Xenopus tropicalis: one gene and its partners. The protein of the gene in region 2 interacts with the protein of the main gene of each other region in a pairwise test. Links are inferred from orthologs where the notes say so. Each region holds a gene or a part of one and is shown on either strand. Other genes may lie near its edges.

Region 1 (4,893 bases), on a different chromosome or scaffold from region 2:
CCCCTAATTCTTTAGAATTTGGCCACTTCACTGTTTGAGGAAGTATGGGAGGCTTAGCAATCGTGTGATGGATCCCAGTATCCACCATAAAACTTATAACATATAACAGTATAACATCTGAACACTTTTAGGTTGCCCATCTCATTTATGCATATATAAATATCTATATAAAAGCGATATATATACCTGTACAACTATATACAAACCAAAGTTTTTAGTGAACTTGTTCACCCAAACAAGATGGATCCCATCATATGGAACAGGATAAATAAAAGGAGTCCCCAACCCATGATCTCATTAAAACCCAGAGCTGTGTAACACTGACCTAGTTTCCCTGTATGTGTTGACATTTTACCTTTAATATCATGTCTCCTGGAAGAAGTCTCCCATCTCGACCAATTACACCATCCTGATAAATGTGCTGTATAATGATTTGAGTCAATGGTGTCTCATTGCCTCCAACAATCCTAATTCCAAGGATTTCATTGAGATCTGCCCTATTGATTTTAATACAGGTAATCTCTCCATCTGGAATCAGGTGATATTGTCTCGGAAGACCTGTGGTTAAACAAACAGGAAAATATTACTTCACTAGAAACTTTAAAGGGAACATTGTTGGACCTAGAATTTTTTTTTTAATATGAGAACATACAAACTTCTTTAATATAGGTAGAAATGCCCATACCTATTGCATTTTTAATTGACAATTATGCCCAACCACAAAGTCTAATAAATGAGACAGTTTGGTAATTAAGTTGCCATGTCAATAGATAAGAAAGCTTCAATACAAAGCAATACTTTGAATAAACCAGCTTTTTTTTACTGTCTAGTAAAATATACATTTGGAAACCCCTCATATATTGGGGTGGCCAAGTGGTTAGCATTGCGGTTTTTGAGTACTATGGTCTTGGTGTCTGATTGCCACTGGGGCACTATCTACATTTCTCACAAAGTCTCTATGGAATTATTTCAAGTGCTCCAGAGTCCTTGCTGAAAACATTTAGGCAGGTTAACTGGCTTCTAATATATATGACTCAATGCTGGGAGTGAATGGAAAGACACTACTGTGACTATATGAATGAATAAAGGCTGGAAGACACCACCAAGTAGGTTGCCCATTTTAGCCCGATGCTTTGTGTGACTGAGCAGCTAGCTACCGTCTTACAAACAAAGCACACTTGTGGGCAAGCTGGGGTCATGAACATGTATGTATGCATATCTTTATTTATAAAACATTACTTATGTACGCAGCGCTGCACAGTAGAATAGATTAATATAACAGGGGGTTATTAAAATAATAACAGATAACTACAAAGTATAACAATAAATACACAGCAAAGTTGCAACAAGTTAAGAATCAAAGAGACAAGAGAATAGAGGTCCCTAGGCATGTGACCATGATGCCACCACCAAAAATTTGGCATGGCTTACTGTATGTTTTTGCTCATGGTGCCTCAAATGCATTTATTATATTCATATGGAGTTTTTTTCGCTGTAAAAAGTATTAAAATGCTATCACTATAATAACCACTAGCGCTTTGATTTGGCCCTAATTAACAATAAGTAAATGCAAAGTAAATGAGTCCCCTTGTGTGATTCTTTGTAGAAAGTGAATAGTAAAGATTCTACTAGAAGGTCATTTTTACCACATAATGTTTTTTAGGGTAGGCATAACTACAGAGGAAGCAGACCCTGCAGTTGCAGGGGGGCCCATGAGTGTAGAGGGCACTAATTAATAAATAAATATGAACATCAAACAATGTAGAGTAAGACAAAAAAAAATCTGTGTGACGAGAAATGTAGAGTAAAACAAACCCATAGGGTCTTCTACGATGTTGGCATTTTGCAGGTTTGCTCTCTCTCTGTCAGATGCATGTACCACAGAGCTCCCACTCTTTGTTCTCCGAAGGACACTAAATGCTCGATTTAGTTTCTTGAAAGACAGACTCCTGACAGTGGAACGCTCAAAGTTTCGATCTGAAAACAGAAAACAGTTCTGTTACAACAGCCCAGTGGTTCTCTAGTGTTTGGCTATAATGAACCAAACCGAATCAAAACCAAATAAATAAGAAAAGCACTCTTAGACTGTTCAAAACATAACAATTGTTTCAAGCACATAAATTATAACTTGTAATGACTTGAGATGCTGGTGCTTATTCAACATAAACCAAATGTTAAATAAATATAAATAATCAGGTCATAACCACGATTAAGTGCGCATGAAATGCGCCAGGCTTTTTGTTTTTAGATGAATGAATGAATAAAATCAAGTTTTTACTGACATCTGATGGCGACTTCAATGTGTGATTGAAGCTGTATCTCTACTTTTGTATGAACTTCCGCAGTCACACAGAAAATCTAATATACGTTATTTTATCAAAGCTAAAGTCTGAATAGGGGCTTATATTATCCTTTTGAAACCCCAATGAATCAATTAATTTGTGTGCACCACTTATGTTTGCAGTTCACTAGGCTGGCACAGGAAGACTCCCTAGTGAAGAAAATCAGGGGCCCTAAACTGCAGTGCAGTACATTTTTCTAATCCATAATAATGGGACATAGCCATACTTGGGACAAGCTTTATGTTATGACTGGTGGTTTTCTCACTTCCAGTGGTTACTTCTGGGTTACTACCTATGCCTTTAAACATATGCCAGTGGAGAAATCTGGAAACATGCACAGGTGCAGTATTTCATTATTTTTTTTCCAGTTATTTATATAGCGCCAGCACATTCCCACAGCACTTTACAGAGTTTATTTATCATACACATCACTCGCTGCGCCAGAGACGCTTACAATCTAAGGTGCCTATCACATTCACACACACAGTGTGGTTAATTTAGTCAGAGGCCAAATAACCTGCCTATATGTTTTTAGGAGGTAACTTGGAATACCCATAGGAAACCCACACAGACATGAGGAGAACATACAAAAACACCCTTGCAGATAGTACCCTTGAGCTCTGGGCAGAAATGCTACTGCACTGCTTACAGTAACACCAGTTATCAGTATAATACAAAATCTGATTGGTTGTACGTATTTGTACCTATGAGTTACTCTTACCAGGATAGATACAAATAGGGATTTATTAGATGGGACTGAGGTGTGGCCATCTCAAAGGTACAACTCACCATTGCCAATGCCAGTGATAGGATTTCTCACTTTGTGAACTATTCTAGGAGTCACTAACTAGTAAAGGCACTGCCCTTCCAATAATGGTAGCAGGTTGTACAATAGGAAAAACTTGTGGGACATTACAGAGCAAGTTGCCCCCTATTGAGTGTGAAATATAATGCTTGGTTTTGTCAGTACTATTCAATAACTCAGTTGTGTAATAATCAGTTATAAGAAGCTTTTGTATTACTGAACAGCAATCTCAAAAAGCATCCATGTTTATTATTAAAAAAAGAGGGTTTTTTTCCCAGTGTACATTGCCTTACTTCTGTTCCGGTTAAGCCTGCAGTTTTCTTCAGCTTCACAGGCAGTGTGGCTTTCTCCTTTGGCAGGACTAAATGCTGGATTGTCTTGGCCAGTTTCTTCAGTTGCTAAGGCTATGGCTGCTGAAGCTGAAAGCTCAGGGGAGACGGCTGCAACAGTGAGATCCAAAGAGGAGCTGCAGTCTGCGGAACTGTCTTGTGATCGTCTTTTACGCTCTTTGGTAAGGCCATAATGTGATGCTCCTTTACACCTAGAAGACAAAAACATTATATTACAGTACAAACTTTAGCATGACATATCATATTGTCATAAAGTACAAAACTTCAAATGTGCCATGGCATTTCTGCTGTTTTCTAGACAGCAATATACATATATATTTTTGTATTTGGCTTAGACTCTTTGGTATTGTGAGTTTAACCCATGTAAATATTGTTAGAGGTATAGTGTGTAGAGATCTGTAGGGTGGTAAGAGGTGATAGATGCTTCCCACTTTAAATCTGCTTACCTGAGTTGCTTTTTGTTGCTTATCAAGCACATGAAACATGGAACATGTGATCAGCCACAGGGCAGTATAAAGACTGGGCACAAGGGAACATGGCTGTCTTTAGAAGGTACAAATTTGATGGCGCTGTAGAGCAGCAAGTGTAATTTTATATATAAGAAGAGTGAGGGGCAGTAGTGCAAGATGGTTATAGTAGGATAAGATGGCAACAGAAGGACAAGATGATTAGTGCAAAAATGTAGCCCCCTACAACCCTTCAGTAAGGTATGGGATCCATTATTCTGAAACCATAAAGCTTCAAATTACGGGAAGGCCATCTCCCATAGACTCCATTTTAATTATATAATTACATTTTTTAGAACTGATTTATTTTTTTCTGTAATAAAAAACAGAACCTTGTACTTAAACCCATCTAAGATATAATTAATCCTTATTGGGGGAAACCCCATTCTGTTGACTTTTTGTGATGTTTAAACAAATTTTTAGCAGACTTAAAGTATGGAGATCCAAATTAAGGTAAGATTCCTTATCTGGAAAACCCCAGAGCATTTTGGATAACAGGTCCCATACCTGTACCAGCATCCAGTGAGAAAGATAAAGTTATACAACAGCTGATAGGTCAGTCTTACTAAAAACAATGGGGCCTGGAAGGCCTATTTTAACTAAGGATCCACCACAAGGTTGTCTCTACATGAATACCATAATCAATGGGATTGAGACACAAGGCCCTGAAATTTTAAGTACACAGAGGCCCAAACAGGCTCCACCAGGCCCAACAGCATCTAGTAGCAGCCCCCACTGGCATTTGCCAGACTCTACAGCTAGTCCAAGCCAGAATGGGAACAAAGAATAGTAAAGATACCAATAAAGAGTTTTGTGTAGAGCATATAGAAAGCATCTATATATATATATATATATATATATATATAATTATATATTTAAACTCTGCAACA
Region 2 (5,595 bases):
GTTAAGAAACTCACCTTTGGTGGCAGCGCCCGGCAAGTTACCAGGGGTGGCAAAAAAAGATCTTAAAAAATAAAAAGTAACAAAGGAAAACTATATCCCCAATCACTGTAGGTCTCTATAAAATGTATTGCATAAACACCCTTGTGTAAAACCCTGCTTCATCTAAATAAACGATTTTTATAAAAATATACTTTATAGTAGTATGTGCTATTGGGTACTCCTAAATAGAAAGTTGCCATTTTAAGAATTAAGGGCCGCCTCCTGTGATCATAGGATTCACAGTGCACACAAACAAGTCAAGGAAAATATGCATGCTGGGCCCCATCAGCCAATTAATGAACAAAGTTCTGCCTTCTTCCTGTTACAGTTAGAGCTGCATTATTTCTGGTCATGTGATCTCTGAGGGCGCACACAGCCCATCACTAAATTGTGGATCAAGGAAAAGGATTTAAAAGGGCAATATTTACTGATATATATATATATATATATATATATATATATATTCCAGTTTGGCGAGATTCTTTAATAGGTCACTCTGCATAATATAAACTATCTGTTGGTTAAGTATTCATTCTGGGGGTATAGTTTTTCTTTAAAGAGATGAAATTCTGAGCGCTATTTCTCTCTCTACAATACCGATGTGGGGGGAAGCATCAACTTGCACACCTATTCATGACAGTACCCCTTGCCCCCTTTGTTCCACTGTCGGAAGTGACCTCTCAAAAGCTATATTAAATTTGTTCAAAGAAATTTTTGTTTGCTAAAAGGCATACATTTTCGAGTATTTTTCTGTTATGGATTTTTTTTACATTCCAGCATCAGTTTCTTAAATACTTTTGCACTTTTTGAAGTGCTTTTCCACTTCAGCCCAGGGTTGCACTCCCTACTCTGTAAAGCGCTGGGCAATATATAAATGTACGTATAACTTTATTTATAAAGCGTTAGAAGGGTACACAGCGCTATACAATCTTACAATATACACAATTACACACAGGGAGGACAACTGTTATAATAAATACAAGAAGTATAAATACACAGATTGAGCGCCATGTGGTGTGAGAGAGTAGGAAGGAGGTCCCTGCCCCATAGAGCTTACAATTTCACTGCCCAATCTAAGCTCGACTAAAATAAAACAAACAAATATGCACAAGGCCCAAACAGGAGTGTAATGTAAGGCATGTATTTATTATCAACACATAAATATTTGTAGAGTGTAAGCTCTTTTGGGCAGGGCCCTCTTCACCTCTTGTATCGGTTATTGATTGCTTTATATGCTACTCTGTATGTCCAATGTATAAAACCCTTTTATTGTACAGCGCTGCAGAATATGTTGGCGCTTTATAAATAAATGTTAATAATAATAAATAGGACAAAGTCTTCCCAACCTTGTTTGCAATATTACCCTGACAGCAGTTACAAAGTATTGAATTGCAGTGCTACTTTAATGGGGAAACCATTGAGAGTGGACCACAGAGACCTTATCCGCACACCCTAACACTCCAAAAAAAATTTTGTACGGTGCACACTGCTAGAGGGATCGGCACCCTCCAAATACACTGTAACAACAAAAAAAGCAATTGGCACTCAGGACTACAAACAAGGGTAAAACCCTTTTAAAAGTTTTATTGCGGAAACCATTGAGAGCACACCTGTAGTTAATGATTTTCATACTCATAATGAATGTCACTGCAGATAAAGAGCTAACAGCCTCCGACCATGGTTCTATAATACAAAACCACCTAACAACAGCCATGGCGCACGACGAGTAACAAAACATTTTTCAAACAACACCCACTGCCCTCCCCCACTATGGGCGCGCATTTCCTGGACGGACGTGACGTCAAGCACAGGGTATAGAAAGCCCCCCTATCACATACAGAGAAGCAGCTTGAGCTCAGGTTTCTAGTATAAATATTACCTCAGTGAATAGATTCTTTCTTAGGGCCGTAATTGGCACATAGCTTTAGGAACATTGCATCGTGAAGACGTGGAAACGAGAGGCTCTATATTGTCTCGGCGTAAGATTACCTTTGTTGAGGACGCACCACTGCGAGTTCTTAGTATCCTTGCGCGGCTAAAGCAAGGGAGGAAGTAACTCCGCCATCTTGTCCAAGCTCTGAAGCGCGCATCGAAGGTCTGTTTGGCTTCCAACTCCATTTCTTTTTCTTCTCAATCCGTCTCCCTTTAAATCCATCAAGCTGGATATGTCAGGGGGCGGCGTGATTAGGGGGCCGGCGGGTAACAACGATTGCCGTATCTATGTTGGCAATCTGCCGCCAGACATCCGCACCAAGGACATTGAGGACGTTTTCTACAAGTATGGGGCCATTCGGGACATAGACCTAAAGAACCGCAGAGGGGGCCCGCCATTCGCCTTTGTGGAATTCGAAGATCCAAGGTAATCCCTGTGTAAATGTTTTTGCTTTGGCCTATCGTGCTAATGGGCTCGCCTAGTGTTAACTGGTGAATAACTACAATATACCTTGAGTGTATCCGGGGGCGGGGTGGTGGTACTGCGACTTTATTTCTGCTGTAGTTGATAAAATGTCGTCCGCTGTTGTATTAGAGTTTATATATAGTCGAGGAGGCCAGTGAGGGGGGGAATTAGGCCTGATTATGGTGCAGGTTATGTTTCAACATCGGTGCGTTGTATCATTATTCAAGTTAATATATTTAGCCTATAATCCCTACAGAGTGGCGCCAGAATGAGGTATTATACACTCATTGTGTATCGCCATTAGCACGTGTAAATCCCTATTTATTACCGCCTTTAGGCAACAGCGCCCCCTGTGTGTGGGACCGAATAGCGCTTCCGCTCTTTGTTCTGCAGCCCTGCACCATGCTTACTAGTGTGTTAAGGGAAGGCATTCTAACAAGCAAATGTGCTTTGGGTTATTTATTGACCTGTTTGCTTTAAAGCCGCTGCCTCATGTCTCTGCTATAAAGCATGCAATTAGGCTCACTGCACTTATTCAACCAGAACTCCTAACACCTTTTATGTAGGCTGCTTGGAGAAGTGCAGTATTGATATTCAATAGCAACACTACAAAATGAATAATGGGTGTTTAAGCATCTGCACTATATGCACATATGTAAAGTATTGGTGAAAATGTACTGTTTAAATGTAAATACAAAAGCTTTTGTGTAGTCATGGGGGCAGCCATTCATGTCTAAAAGACTGTTAAGATACAATGGCTTGCTTACACAGAATTAATCTGGGGTCATGTGTCGTTTGTAGCTCTATACATGACTGTAATAAAGTTTTCTCATTTACAGCCAAGAAAGTTTTCCAGGATATGTAATTACCATTGTAGGTGAATATTCTCTTCTTAACCTGGCATTCTTTAACTAAAGCAATTCTTACCTTGGTTTCTCTTAGGGATGCAGAAGATGCTGTCTATGGTAGAGATGGCTATGATTATGATGGCTATCGCTTGCGTGTTGAGTTTCCAAGAAGTGGGCGAGGAGCTGGAGGCAGAGGTGGTGGTGGTGGTGGCGGCGGCGGAGGAGGAGGTGGTGGAGGCGGCGGCGGCGGTGGTGGTGGTGGCGGCGGAGGAGGAGCTCCCCGAGGGAGATATGGACCTCCATCAAGACGTTCAGAATACAGAGTGGTTGTGTCAGGTAAGAGTTCTATCAGGTGGCAGGTTTAAAAACCAAAGTAAAAACATCAGTTGCAAAGTTTTAGAGGAATAATGCCCATCAGGTTTTTACAAGCAGCGTTATTTCACATGTATACAATAATGAGTTGGACACAGTTATGCATACATTCTAAAGTATTATGCATTCTATACCAGTGGATATGACTGACCATTAATGTATACAAACAGAACTACTAGTATATCTCCCTTTAACTTTAGTTCAGTTAACGGCTTGCATCAGCTTAACAGAACTTAAGCAACTCTCTGCTTGGTCCTTGCAAGGTAGATAATTGTATTACAGTTCACACACAATTCTCCTGCATAATGGACTTCAAACCATGCAGTCACAAGAAAAGGGAAGGATAGGGTATTGTCTTCAAACAAGATATTAAATGGCCCTGTCTGGTTGCTCAGGATGCTATCTGGACTATGAAAACTTGCACATGTTGCTATGTTACCTTCAGTTCAAACATGAAGCACTGCAACAAATTTACCTTTAAAACGTACTAAATGTAAACCCCTGAGTTATTTTAGCAGAATTGGGCTGTTGTGAGTCTCGCTGGAAGCATGGTTCAGATTAAAACAATGGGTTTTCCCCAGGATGCTGTGTTCATTTAAGCAATACAGCTGTCTTTGGACTGTTTTAATGCTCCATGCATTGCTGTATAACCAGCATAGATACCTACTCTTGGAATTTTGGCACTAGAAGTTCATAAACCATTTTAAATTTCCACCATTTGCATGCTTTTAATTATGTATAAAACTGCTTTTGATACCAAATTTGACACTCTGATAACTTTATATTTCTAGGGTTGCCTCCAAGTGGCAGCTGGCAGGATTTAAAGGATCACATGCGTGAAGCAGGTGATGTATGTTATGCCGATGTGTTCCGAGATGGTACTGGAGTTGTGGAGTTTGTGAGGAAAGAAGATATGACATATGCAGTACGGAAGCTGGATAACACTAAATTTAGGTCTCATGAGGTAAATACTAAATTGTTTAGTAGTTTGTGTTAAGTTTTTCTCTACCTATTGTGACTAGCAGTATCTGTTTTACATGACCTCTGAAGCCAATAGTGATGTTGGCCAAATACATAAGGTGCCAAAAGATATGGGAATTTTAAATTTTCTGTATAATGTACTATAGTTGCTTGACTTTTATCGTTCTTTGATGTGCCTAAGTTCATAAGATATTGAAGATTGGCTTGTTCAAATCCAGCTTCTCTCATTGATAGGGAGAGACTGCCTACATTCGTGTTAAGGTAGATGGTCCAAGAAGTCCCAGCTATGGAAGATCGCGGTCACGCAGCCGCAGTCGTAGCAGGAGCCGTAGTAGAAGCAACAGTCGCAGCCGAAGTTACTCTCCAAGAAGAAGCCGTGGTTCTCCACGCTACTCTCCTCGCCACAGCAGATCTCGCTCTCGTACATAAATGAAAAACACGTGATGCTTTTTGTAGACCCTCATGTTGTATACAGTTTTCTTTACTTTCATTTTTTTAAGTCACTGTTTTATTCAATTTTGCCGAAGTGTTGAATCCTTTGTGTAGTATTGCCATCAGACTGGCTCCTTAATGCCCTCATTTCCCTCATGCCTAAAACTGTATTTTAACTGCTAGATTCTTCCAGTTTAGCTAGCCACTCTTCAGAGGCACCAGCTGGTGTTTACTATGGTTATGGCACTGTGGGTTTTGGTGGTTGATTACCATACATTCTAACTTTTTTTTCCTGGGGGAATTCTTGTTTTACCTTGCCTTTTCATGTGTCTTTCTGTAGACATATCTGAAGAGATGGATTAAAGGATTGTGGAGGACATTTCAATCATTTTAGGATTATCAAATGGAGGCTTGAGGAGGATCAGATCAAATATGGAGGCCATGGTATGACTCCAAGTGCTACTGTTAGACAAAATTGGCAGTATTGACCTTATGCTGAAAATTCTTGTTTTAAGAGAACAATTA
Region 3 (5,439 bases), on a different chromosome or scaffold from region 2:
TGATCAGTTAACATCCCCTGGTTCTATATTTTAATCATGGTTTATTTAGTTTGTACATGAACAAAAACCACAAGTAATAAAGCCCAAATCCAGCCACACGCAGATGTTTGCTTGATTTGTCAAGACAAGTGCTAGTCCAAATCGACCCCAGCCCAGACAGTCATGCCACATAGGGAGCCCGTGCACCCCTTCCAGGACAGCACCACACCCACAGCCAGATATAGTCCAGACAGGATTTTCTAGCCCTCCAATTGATATCTGTCTAATCAAACAAACTTGGCCAAGAACAGACGGCTGATACTGGCCCAAGAAAAACCATCTTGCTGCTCAGATGCAGTTCATTAATCATATACAGCATGCTGTGATGAGAAACACTCTAATGCCTAGTGACATTAGGCTGATGTCCCATGAAATGTGTTAGCAGACAGTTAGAAATCCCTGCTACCGGGGACAACTAATGGCTCCGAAATACCATTCCACTGGCACAAACAGGAATCGCTGGTGGAAAGGCCTTCACATTGCTTTGGTTTTCTGAAGTTGTGCAGAGTTTCCTCCTGCAGGCAAGCTCAGAAAACCAAAGCGACGCAAAGGCCTTTCCACCGGAAACTCCTATTGTTGCCAGTGGAAAGGCATTTTCAGAGTGGTTAGATGCCCTCGATAACAGAGATCTATCACGGGCGAGTAAAAGGCAGCTCTGGGAATGTGCTTCCAGGTGATACGCTAGGATGGTAGGGCTAAAGAACTGGTGGGGTGCATGGGATTAAAGGAGAAGGAAATGTATAATCACTGGGGGGTGCCAAATGTTAGGTGCACTCCAGTAATTGCCAACGCTTTGCTAATACCCCAGGCGAGTGCTCCTGTTTGCTGAAAAACGCACTGGCCCAGGGTACATCTGTAAGAGTGCCACACTGCAATCTTTTCTTAAGCCCCAGGCTGGTGCACTCTTCAGCACACAGATGTCTGGCCCAGAGTATCAGGTAAGTGATTATATTCACTGGAGTGGGGGTACCATATATCCTGGAGATGGCACTTTCAAGGCAACTAATAATAACTATATTATCCAACCTAGAGCAGCCTGAAGCACAAGAAACCCGATTCCTCCCATGAAAAATAATGCCTTCCAGTGCTTAGTGGAGTGTCAGTGCTGTATTATGTGGCTGCTTCTGGGAACCAAAGTGCCTTCTTATAGGGGTTTGTGCCTTAAGAGCCAGTACCCAGCCAGCAGTGCTGCACTCCTGATGAAAATCTCTCCTTTGCTGATCTCCAAACCTTCTACAGCATTGGTGCAACTGGGTATTGGGGGTTCTTGGGCACTGAGTACCCTGCTTGCCAATGCAGTGCACACTTGCCTACTGAATTATGAGCAGGACGGCCATTCTGGAGAATCACTTAAGGGCGTACTTATTACCCCTGGAGACAAACTTCAGTGGTGATGTTACCCATAGCAACCAATCAGACCTTTACAATAAAACGCTGACTTCCGCTTTAAGCCGCGTACAGCTGAGCACTTCATCTGGTGCGCAACTGCTTTTTTTTTTTTAGAATGTTCCTGTAAGGGTGATACAGGGTCAAACAGCTGAAAAATGCAAGTGGGAGTAACATGTACCGGTTATTACAGCGATTAAAAGTTAAATTATGTTGGTCTGTGTAAACGCAGATGGAGGCTTTATTATGGGTACTGGAAACACGCAGGTCAGTGTGGTTCAGACTCTCCCCAACCTCAAAGCATATATGTACAACATAGCTATGGCCACCACCTTGTATTGTATCTCTCCTTAAGGGCTCTGGTACACGGGGAGATTAGTCGCCCGCGGCAAAACTCCCTGCTCGCGGGCGACTAATCTCCCCGAGTTGCCTTCCCTCTGCCATCCCACCGGCGACTTACACCGGCGAGGCGATTTCGGGAAATCGCCGAAAAAGCCTCGCGAGTCTTTTTCGGCGATTTGCGCGAAATCGCGCCGCCGCGTCTGCCATCCCGCCGGCGACTTACATGTTCGCCGGTGGGATGGCAGAGGGAAGGCAACTCGGGGAGATTAGTCGCCCGCGAGCAGGGAGTTTTGCCGCGGGCGACTAATCTCCCCGTGTACCAGAGCCCTTAATCCCTCCTCATTAATTTGCAGGCAACACTTGAAACCTTTATCCTGATAAGTTGAACAATTAGAAAACAAGGAAGGGGGGATTTAAAATGCCATGGTGGCCCTATAACACCTATATCCATGCAACTGTGGCACTTAAAGGAACAGTAACACCAAAAAATGAAAATGTATAAAAATAATAATAAAATATACTGCTGCCCTGCACTGGTACAACTGGTGTGTTTGCCTCAGAAATTTATATAAACAAAGCTGCTGTTTAGCCACGGGGGCAGCCATTCAAAGGAGAAAAGGCACAGGCACATAGGAGATAACAGATAAACTATTGTATTCTACAGAACTTATCTGTTATCTGCTATGTAACCTGTGCCTTTTCTCCTTTTTTCCAACTTTAATGGCTGCCCCCATGGCTACACAGCAGCTTATTTATATAAACTATAGTAGTGTTACTGTAGCAAACACAATTTTTACCAGTGCAGGGCAACAATACATTATATTATAATTACTTTAAAAAAAAACTTTAATTTTTTTGGTGTTACTGTTCCTTTAATAACAATGGGGTAGAGCATAGTACGTTTGGGCAGCGCTGGGGTCCTAATGTTCAATTCCAGCTGGGGGTCACTATCTACAAGGAGTTTATATGTAACCCTTAGACTGGGGCAGGTTCTGATGTAAATGGAGTATAATGTTGCTGTTATATAAATACAGAATTACTGGAGATCCAAGAACCCCAAGGTTTTTCCAGACATTTAATACATATATTAAAGCACTAAAACTAATGGTGCCCCAATACAAAACGTAAGCAAACCCACAGGGCAGCAGCACATATCAATGAATGAAAAAATCCAGTGCAAAGCATATACACATTGAGGGAATATACCCAGAGAGAAATACAAGGCAGCCTTCCCTAGACGGGGGCAGTCAAGCAGTGGCAGCCATTTTTGTTGTCCCCTTACATAAACACAACAATTTAACCAGTGCAAGCTCAGAAAGAATTCATTTTACATAAAGAAGAAATCGCCCAAACCCATATACAAAGGGAATAGTGTGCAGAAGAAACAACTCCCCAGGAAGGTATAGACGCAGCGATATGTGTATCCAATCAGCTGCGGCCTATACCCCCATAAATCCTCGGTACTGCGTTCGGGGCCAATCCCAAACACCACCCTGCTCTCTCTTAATCAATACATCGGTGAATAGAACCCGCCATGCTTCCCCTGCACCGTCCCACCAATATCCAACTCGTACGGAAAGCAGCGCTGCAGGATGGAAAAAGATTATGGAGCTCCGCTTACATTTTGCCGCTCTTTCGTTGCCTGTCCCTTCTAAGATCAGATAAACCGTCGCGTTCGTTGTGACGTGTCGCCGCCATCTTGAAACAAAAGATAAGCGACTCTGGTCGCCTTGGCGCTGACGTCACACATTGCTGGACGTGGGCGTGGCACAACAGCGGACGCAAATGCGATTCAGCCTTTTAAAGAAGTAGGATAGTCCCGAGTTGCAGCAGGAACATTACTAGTAATTGTCATTTCTAGGAGTGACGGGGTTAATATGTGTGCGTGTATGTCTATTGCACGGAGCGGAAACCTATGCTGCTTCCTGTTTTGCTCCGTAAACAAACACTAAGTGCGATATGGTTATAAAGAAACTGTGCCAGAAGTACAACTACGCGTCGGTATATAGATAGGTGCGAGGGACAGCCGCTATAAAGGCAAGTGTGGCCTGTGTTAGGAGAGGTGCAGGGATGTTAGTTCTTCCGGATGGGAGGATTGCTTTACGTGTCTCGTCGCACTTTTGGGGCCCATAAGGTGGTGAGTGTGACAAAAAGCAAGGGTGACCCTTTACCTTTGGGAAAAAAGAGTGCAACTAGTCTAGCTCCCCATAAGGTTTGCTTGAGTTGTTGGGAACCCCCATAAACCCGGCTGTCTAGGGGGTTTGCATGAGTTGTCAAGGCCACCATAAGTCCCGCTAGAGTTGCCCAGGGCAACCCTTAGGTTTGCCTGAGTTATAAAGGGCATCCATAAACCTTACTTAGGTCGCCTAGGGCAAGCATAAGGTTTGTATACATTGTACAGGATTCAGTAAGGTTTCATTGAACCTTCCAGAAGGTCCCTAAGGTTTGGAGGGAAGCTGTTCTGATCTGTCCTCTCATAAAGGGAATATTTCCCCTCTTATAAATAAGGTGCATATTCCTTTTAATGCTACACTCAAATCCACAGAGAACTTAAAGGGTCAGTTACTGTACTCACAACACAGAATTGCCTGCCTGAAGGGTTTGATTGGTATCAGCATCACCTTTAATGAGCCCCCTGACCTATTTTTATTAGGTGGGGAGAGAAGCAGGTTCTGTGGATGTATTAGGAGGAGGTGAGAGGTAGGTGCCCTGATGTCTGTTAGTTGGAAGTGAAAGGTATGTTCCCATATGAGGAGTGGGTGTCTGTATCTCTGATGACTGCGTATAAAGAAGGACTGGGCAGTTTTATCATGGGTAGGGGTCAGAATTACTTGTGTCCTAATGTATGTAGTGAGAAATGATATTGGTTTTATTCATGACTCTAACACCAACCTCCTGTTTTCTTCAGATCATTAGTTGCAAGCAATGAAATAAAAGTACCTGTTTAGCAGGTGGAATATCTTGGGGCCAGAACTTCTGAAACCGAATACAACAAGGATCCAATTTAAGGTCATGGTGGAATATAACTGCATCACCTTCCACCAATCAGAATCCAGCGACTGGTTTATTAAAGGGAATCAGCTTGGCCGAGTGGTTCTGCTGCCCAAAGATTTAGCACCACCACTGGCTTTAGAACCCAGATTGAGCACCACTGGTTATTAATGCAATATTTTTCATCCACATTTGATTGGATTGTGGGTGGATCTTAATTGAGATCAGTGCACTGAGACTTTTGATTAATCGCAAAACTTTGTGACGGATGTGGTTTCAATCTATTTCAGCCCCGTAAAGTTTGCTGAATGCTAGAAATATGGGGCGATTGGATGAGAATGCGAAGCACAGGATTGTGATCTTGAGGAAAGCCGGGTTAAGCTTTCGTAAAATAAAGAAAGTTCTGGAGTTGGATAATATTAAGGTGACACCACAAGCCATCTATCTCTTCCTTAAAAGAAAGAACATTGAACCTGAAAAGTCATCCTCTGCCAACCAGACCCAAAGCATTCCCCCAAGAGCACAGCCATGGGCAGACCGCCAGCCTTGGACTCCCTATCAGGAGACTGGGCAGAAGCCAGCCAGTACAGAGACTAAACTTGATGCTGGACACAGGGTACCGCAAGTGGTCAGCCAGGAAGAAGGTATCAAGATAGTGAGTGTGACCTCTCTATCCAAAGG
Region 4 (4,893 bases), on a different chromosome or scaffold from region 2:
ATCTTCAGATTGGGGGCTTTAAGTGTAATCTCTTCTAAATCATCTAGTTTGTAGAGTTTGTTGTTGCTGATATCCAAGGAAAGTAGCTACAGTAATAAAGGAAAGAGAGTTAGAAATAAGTGGGGGGAAAAAAATGTGCATGCATAAATAATTTGTACAAAACCACTATTAACCAGCAAATATACTTAGTGACATCAGTTACGCTTGGGAAAACATTTTTTCAAAGCACACCAGTTAATAGATTAAAGATCTATTTTATATTTAATTTTGAAATATCACATGACTGCTAGGCATATTCTTCATATCCGAGGGTGCTACATCCATGTGACTTGTGCTCTTATAAAGTTCAGTCACATTTTACTTCTGCGCTGCAAATTGGAGTGATATCACCCCCTTCTCTTTTTCCCCTAGGAAAACAACGGGAAGGGAGCAAGATAGCAACTCACAGTAGATATCAGAATAGCACAATAGTAAGCTCAATAATAGCTCAATAGTAAGACATCCAAGTCCGGCTTGAGACTCCTCCAGTTACATGGGAGTAGGAGAAACAATTGGTTATCTGAAAGCTGTTCTAATGTGTAGCGCTGGCTCCTTCTGAAAGCTCAGACTCAGACCTGCTATGTAAACATGTGCCTTTTCTTTCTTTTTCTCCAACTTGATTTGCTGTCCCCATGGCTACAAAGCAGCTTATTAATATAAAAAACAGCAGTTGCATTTTCTCACATTTCTACCAATTGCTTGTTTGTGCACATCAAGACAAGTTAGAACTGGGATTCTGCCCAACAATCCTGCTGAAAATTGTTTTTATTGCTTTGACGGATTTCACAGTTTTTACTGATTTTATTGCATTCTGCATTATTCTTGATTTTTCTTCTTATTTTTGCTCCTAAAATTGTGTGCGCAATGTTTTAGTTGTCTATGCATTCCACATAGTTTGCCAATTCTCTGGCTACTAGGTTTCAAACATTTCAGAAAATGCTTAGCAATTTTTATTATTATTAAATCTTTGCACATAAGAACATTTTGGAGACAATGCCCTTTGCTGTAATTTTTCAGAAATTTGAACAAGAATGTTATATGCCAGTGGTTTAAGAGAGTAAAACAGGGTTTCCTATACTTTCTGATATAAAAAAGAAATATGGTGGATATCTTCCAATGAGAAATTGTCTGGACCAATACCATAAACTGAGCAAATATGAAATGATTAAGCTGCACTCCACAACTTTTTGTGGGCATGATTCTAGTCCTATGAAAAAGTAATAAATATCAGCATTTCATCTAATATGTGGCAGTTATTAGAATTGATTATTCTTAGTGTGTAAAATCCTTATATTTAAAAAATTCTCAAAGTATCTGACAAGTGTTGTTCTTGCAGTAGCTGATGGGTAATGAAATCTGTATGCAACCAGTACATTTTAGGATCTCTACATTTTAGTACATTAATATTTATTATGCTTTTTGTATCTAAGAATCTGTAGAAGAGAAGATACTTTAAAGAATGTCTTGATGTGTTGTTACAAAAACAGCTACTTAGGAAAGGTTTGGCAAGGCAAGACATTTTTACCCATATTTAAAAATCTACATAAGAAAAGAAGTTAGAAATCTTCCTAAAACTATATATAATTGGCATAAGCACTCAAGATACAGAGTGTTCTGTTTAAATTGTATTTTTGTTGATAATAAAAGGTTCATATAACTTATATAAAACTTTTAATGTAGCTAGAATACAACATACAGTGGTGCATGAAAGTTTGTGAACCCTTTAACATTTTCTATATATGTATAAGAATGTGACCTAAAACAACATCACAGTTTCAAACAAGTTCTAAAAGTAGATGAAGAAAACCTAATGAAACAAATTGAAAAAATTATTCCGGATAAGGGGTCTTTCCGTAATTTGGATCTCTATACCATAAGTCTACTAAACAATCAATAAAACATTAAACCAAATAGGATTGTTTTTCATCCAATAAGGATTATATATATATATCTTAATTGGAATCAATTACAATGTAAAGTTTTATTACTACAGAGAAAAAGGAAATCAGTTTTAAAATTCTGTATTTGATTACAATGGAGTCTATGAGAGACGGGCTTTCCGTAATTCGGAGCTTTCTGGATAACGGGTTTCCAGATAAGGGATTCCACACCTGTACTTGGTCACGTATTTTTCAGTTAACTTTTTGTTCAGCAACACTTTGGTCTGGAATTTCAGTAGCTATCTGGTTGCTAGGGTCTTAGCCACCAGGCACTGGCTTAAACTAAAGACCAGAATATGAATTTGAGAGGGGCTGAATAGTAAGACAAGTAATAAAAAGTAACAATTTTAATAAATTTTAGTTTTCAGCTGTCAGGGGTCAGTGACCCCAACTGAAAAATGTAGAAGTGGAAGGCAAATAGTTTGGAGAGACAAATAATGAAGACCAATTGCAAAGTTGCTTGGAATAGGAAATTCTATAACATACTAGAAGTTAATGTAAAGTTGAACCAGGACTTCAAGAAATTCACTTTATTCTTCTTTAACCATTCTTTGGTAGAACAATCTGTATGTTTAGGATCATTGTCTTGCTGCATGTCCCACTGTCTCTTGAGATTCAGTTCACTCATAGATGTCTTGGCATTTTCCTTTAGAATTCTCTGGTATAGTTCAGAACTTATTGTTCCATCAATGATAGAAAGCAGTACAGGCCCAGATGCGGCAAGACAGACCTAAACCACAACACTCCCACCACATTTCACAAATAAGATAAGGTTCTTATGCTGGAATGCAGTGTTTTTCCTTTCTCCAAATGAAACGCTCCTCATTTAAGCCAAAAACTTTTGGCTTCATCCATCCACAAAACATTTTTCCATTATCCTTCTGGTTTGTCCACATGATCTTAAGCAAACTGTAGACAGTCAGCAATATTTTGGGGAAAAAGCAGTAGCTTTCCCTTTGCTACCACACCATTGCTGTTCAGTGTTCTCCTGATGGCGAACTCATGAACATCCAACATTCAACAATGTGATACAGGCCTTCAGTTTCTTAGAAGTTACTCTGGTTTCTTTCTTGTAACCTCTGGCACATGGGGAGATTAGTTGCCTGCGACAAATCTCCTGTGTCTCGGGCGACTAATCTCCCCAGATTGCCATCCCACCGGCGAAAATGTAAATCGCCGGTGGGATGGCATACGCGGCGGCGCGATTTCAGTGAAATCGCGCAAGTTGCCTTGAGGGGAAAGTTGCACGATTTCAGTGAAATCGCGCAGCCGCGTATGCCATCCCACCGGCGACTAATCTCCCTGTGTGCCAGAGCCCTTAGACACCTTGCAGTTGGAGTTATCTTTGATGGTCGACCACGTCTGGGTAGGGTAACAACAGTCTTTTATAATTTGTACACAATCTGTCTGACTGTTGGTTATCAGAATCCAAACTCTTTAGAGATAACCTTTTACAGCTTTAGGGCTCTGGCACACGGGGAGATTAGTCGCCCGCGACAAATCTCCCTTGTCACGGGCGACTAATCTCCCCGAGTTGCCATGACCCGCCATCCCACCGGCGAACATGTAAGTCGCCGATGGGATGGCACACGCGGCAGCGCGATTTCCCGCCGGCGACTTACATGTTCGCCGGTGGGATGGCGGGTCATGGCAACTCGGGGAGATTAGTCACCCGCGAACATGGAGTTTTGTCGCGGGCGACTAATTTCCCCGTGTGCCAGAGCCCTTACAGGCATAAACTACTCTTTTTCTGGGGTCCTAAATCACCATCTTTTTTTCTGAGCCATGATACACATTCACAAATGTGTTGTATGTGGGATCTGGCTTTGCTGTGCACATGTGCAGCACTTGCAGAAATTTTTTATTAGGCATGCTGAAAATCTTAAGACTTCTAAAACATAATGATCATGCTTTAGTGTAGTAAGAGTAATGAACCTAAACATAAAGTGGTTGCTAGGGTTTAAATGACCAGAACAAAAGTCTTTTCCTCTGTAATTACAATACTTAACTTCTTTGGAGACATTAATTGTACAGTACTATAAACAAAACTGCCTACCTCTGGTACATTATCCTCAATTATCTGCAACATTGTCGTCATGTAGCATTTTCTGTTCAGGATTAAATCTACTTTATTGGCGACTAAATCTAGGGTAAAGAGATGAGTACATTAAGATGCTGCTTAAGGATAGGCAAAGTGGGTTAAAAAGACTGTTAGAGGGGCTTTACCAGGGTCACTTCGCACAGCCTTCATATCCAGGGCTTGATGTGCACCATCATATCTCTTCTGCATACAGTTCTAGGCAAGAAAACAAGAATTTATAATTTAGTAACAATTTATTTCTATTAATGCTGTCAATGCATTTATTGATGTGTACCTTAAAATGTTCTAACTCTTCATCTTTTATTTCCTTTGTAAAGTTCTGAGGAGGCGGGCATGGCCGTGTTAAAATAGTGATCTGTAGAGTGGGGAGTAACAAAAACTTAAAAACAAAAGTATTAGTAAAATGCTGTAAAAAAAAAAAAAAAAAAAATGGAACCTGCAACATTTCAATGATAACATTTTGTAACACAATGCTCTACTCTATGGGGCTGATTTACTAACCCACGAATCCGACCCGAATTGGAAAAGTTCCGACTTGAAAACGAACATTTTGCGACTTTTTCGTATGTTCTGCGATTTTTTCGGATTCTGTACGAATTTTTCGGATCCAATACGATTTTTGCGTAAAAACGCAAGTTTTTCGTATCCATTACGAAAGTTGCGTAAAAAGTTGCGCATTTTTCGTAGCGTTAAAACTTACGCGAAAAGTTGCGCATTTTTCGTAGCGTTAAAACTTAACGCTACGAAAAATGCGCAACTTTTCGCGTAAGTTTTAACGCTACGCAAAAAAAATCGCAAAAACATACGAAAAAA

Evidence for each region.
Region 1: the proteins of srsf1 (region 2) and lnx1 interact in a two-hybrid assay, tested with the Homo sapiens proteins (3 studies listed by BioGRID and IntAct). The link is inferred for Xenopus tropicalis from reciprocal best matches to the Homo sapiens genes SRSF1 and LNX1.
Region 3: the proteins of srsf1 (region 2) and rnps1 interact in a two-hybrid assay, tested with the Homo sapiens proteins (2 studies listed by BioGRID and IntAct, with this or other methods). The link is inferred for Xenopus tropicalis from reciprocal best matches to the Homo sapiens genes SRSF1 and RNPS1.
Region 4: the proteins of srsf1 (region 2) and nxf1 interact in binary tests that used the Homo sapiens proteins (3 or more experiments, as listed by UniProt). The link is inferred for Xenopus tropicalis from reciprocal best matches to the Homo sapiens genes SRSF1 and NXF1.

The regions. Positions count from the first base shown.
Region 1 is NC_030677.2:39,761,747-39,766,639, forward strand, and holds part of lnx1 (E3 ubiquitin-protein ligase LNX), read right to left. Parts: intron 3,689-4,893; coding exon 3,441-3,688; intron 1,978-3,440; coding exon 1,816-1,977; intron 559-1,815; coding exon 356-558; intron 1-355.
Region 2 is NC_030678.2:76,103,133-76,108,727, forward strand, and holds the start of srsf1 (serine/arginine-rich splicing factor 1), read left to right. Parts: upstream 1-1,950; 5' UTR 1,951-2,204; coding exon 2,205-2,398; intron 2,399-3,379; coding exon 3,380-3,621; intron 3,622-4,448; coding exon 4,449-4,621; intron 4,622-4,872; coding exon 4,873-5,067; 3' UTR 5,068-5,595. UniProt on the Homo sapiens protein: Plays a role in preventing exon skipping, ensuring the accuracy of splicing and regulating alternative splicing.
Region 3 is NC_030685.2:21,738,783-21,744,221, reverse strand, and holds the start of rnps1 (RNA-binding protein with serine-rich domain 1), read right to left. Parts: upstream 3,509-5,439; 5' UTR 3,391-3,508; coding exon 3,389-3,390; intron 1-3,388. Other genes in the region: uncharacterized protein LOC100490582, read left to right, coding at 5,078-5,439. UniProt on the Homo sapiens protein: Part of pre- and post-splicing multiprotein mRNP complexes. Auxiliary component of the splicing-dependent multiprotein exon junction complex (EJC) deposited at splice junction on mRNAs.
Region 4 is NC_030680.2:36,514,415-36,519,307, forward strand, and holds part of nxf1 (nuclear RNA export factor 1), read right to left. Parts: intron 4,436-4,893; coding exon 4,355-4,435; intron 4,276-4,354; coding exon 4,206-4,275; intron 4,125-4,205; coding exon 4,036-4,124; intron 87-4,035; coding exon 1-86.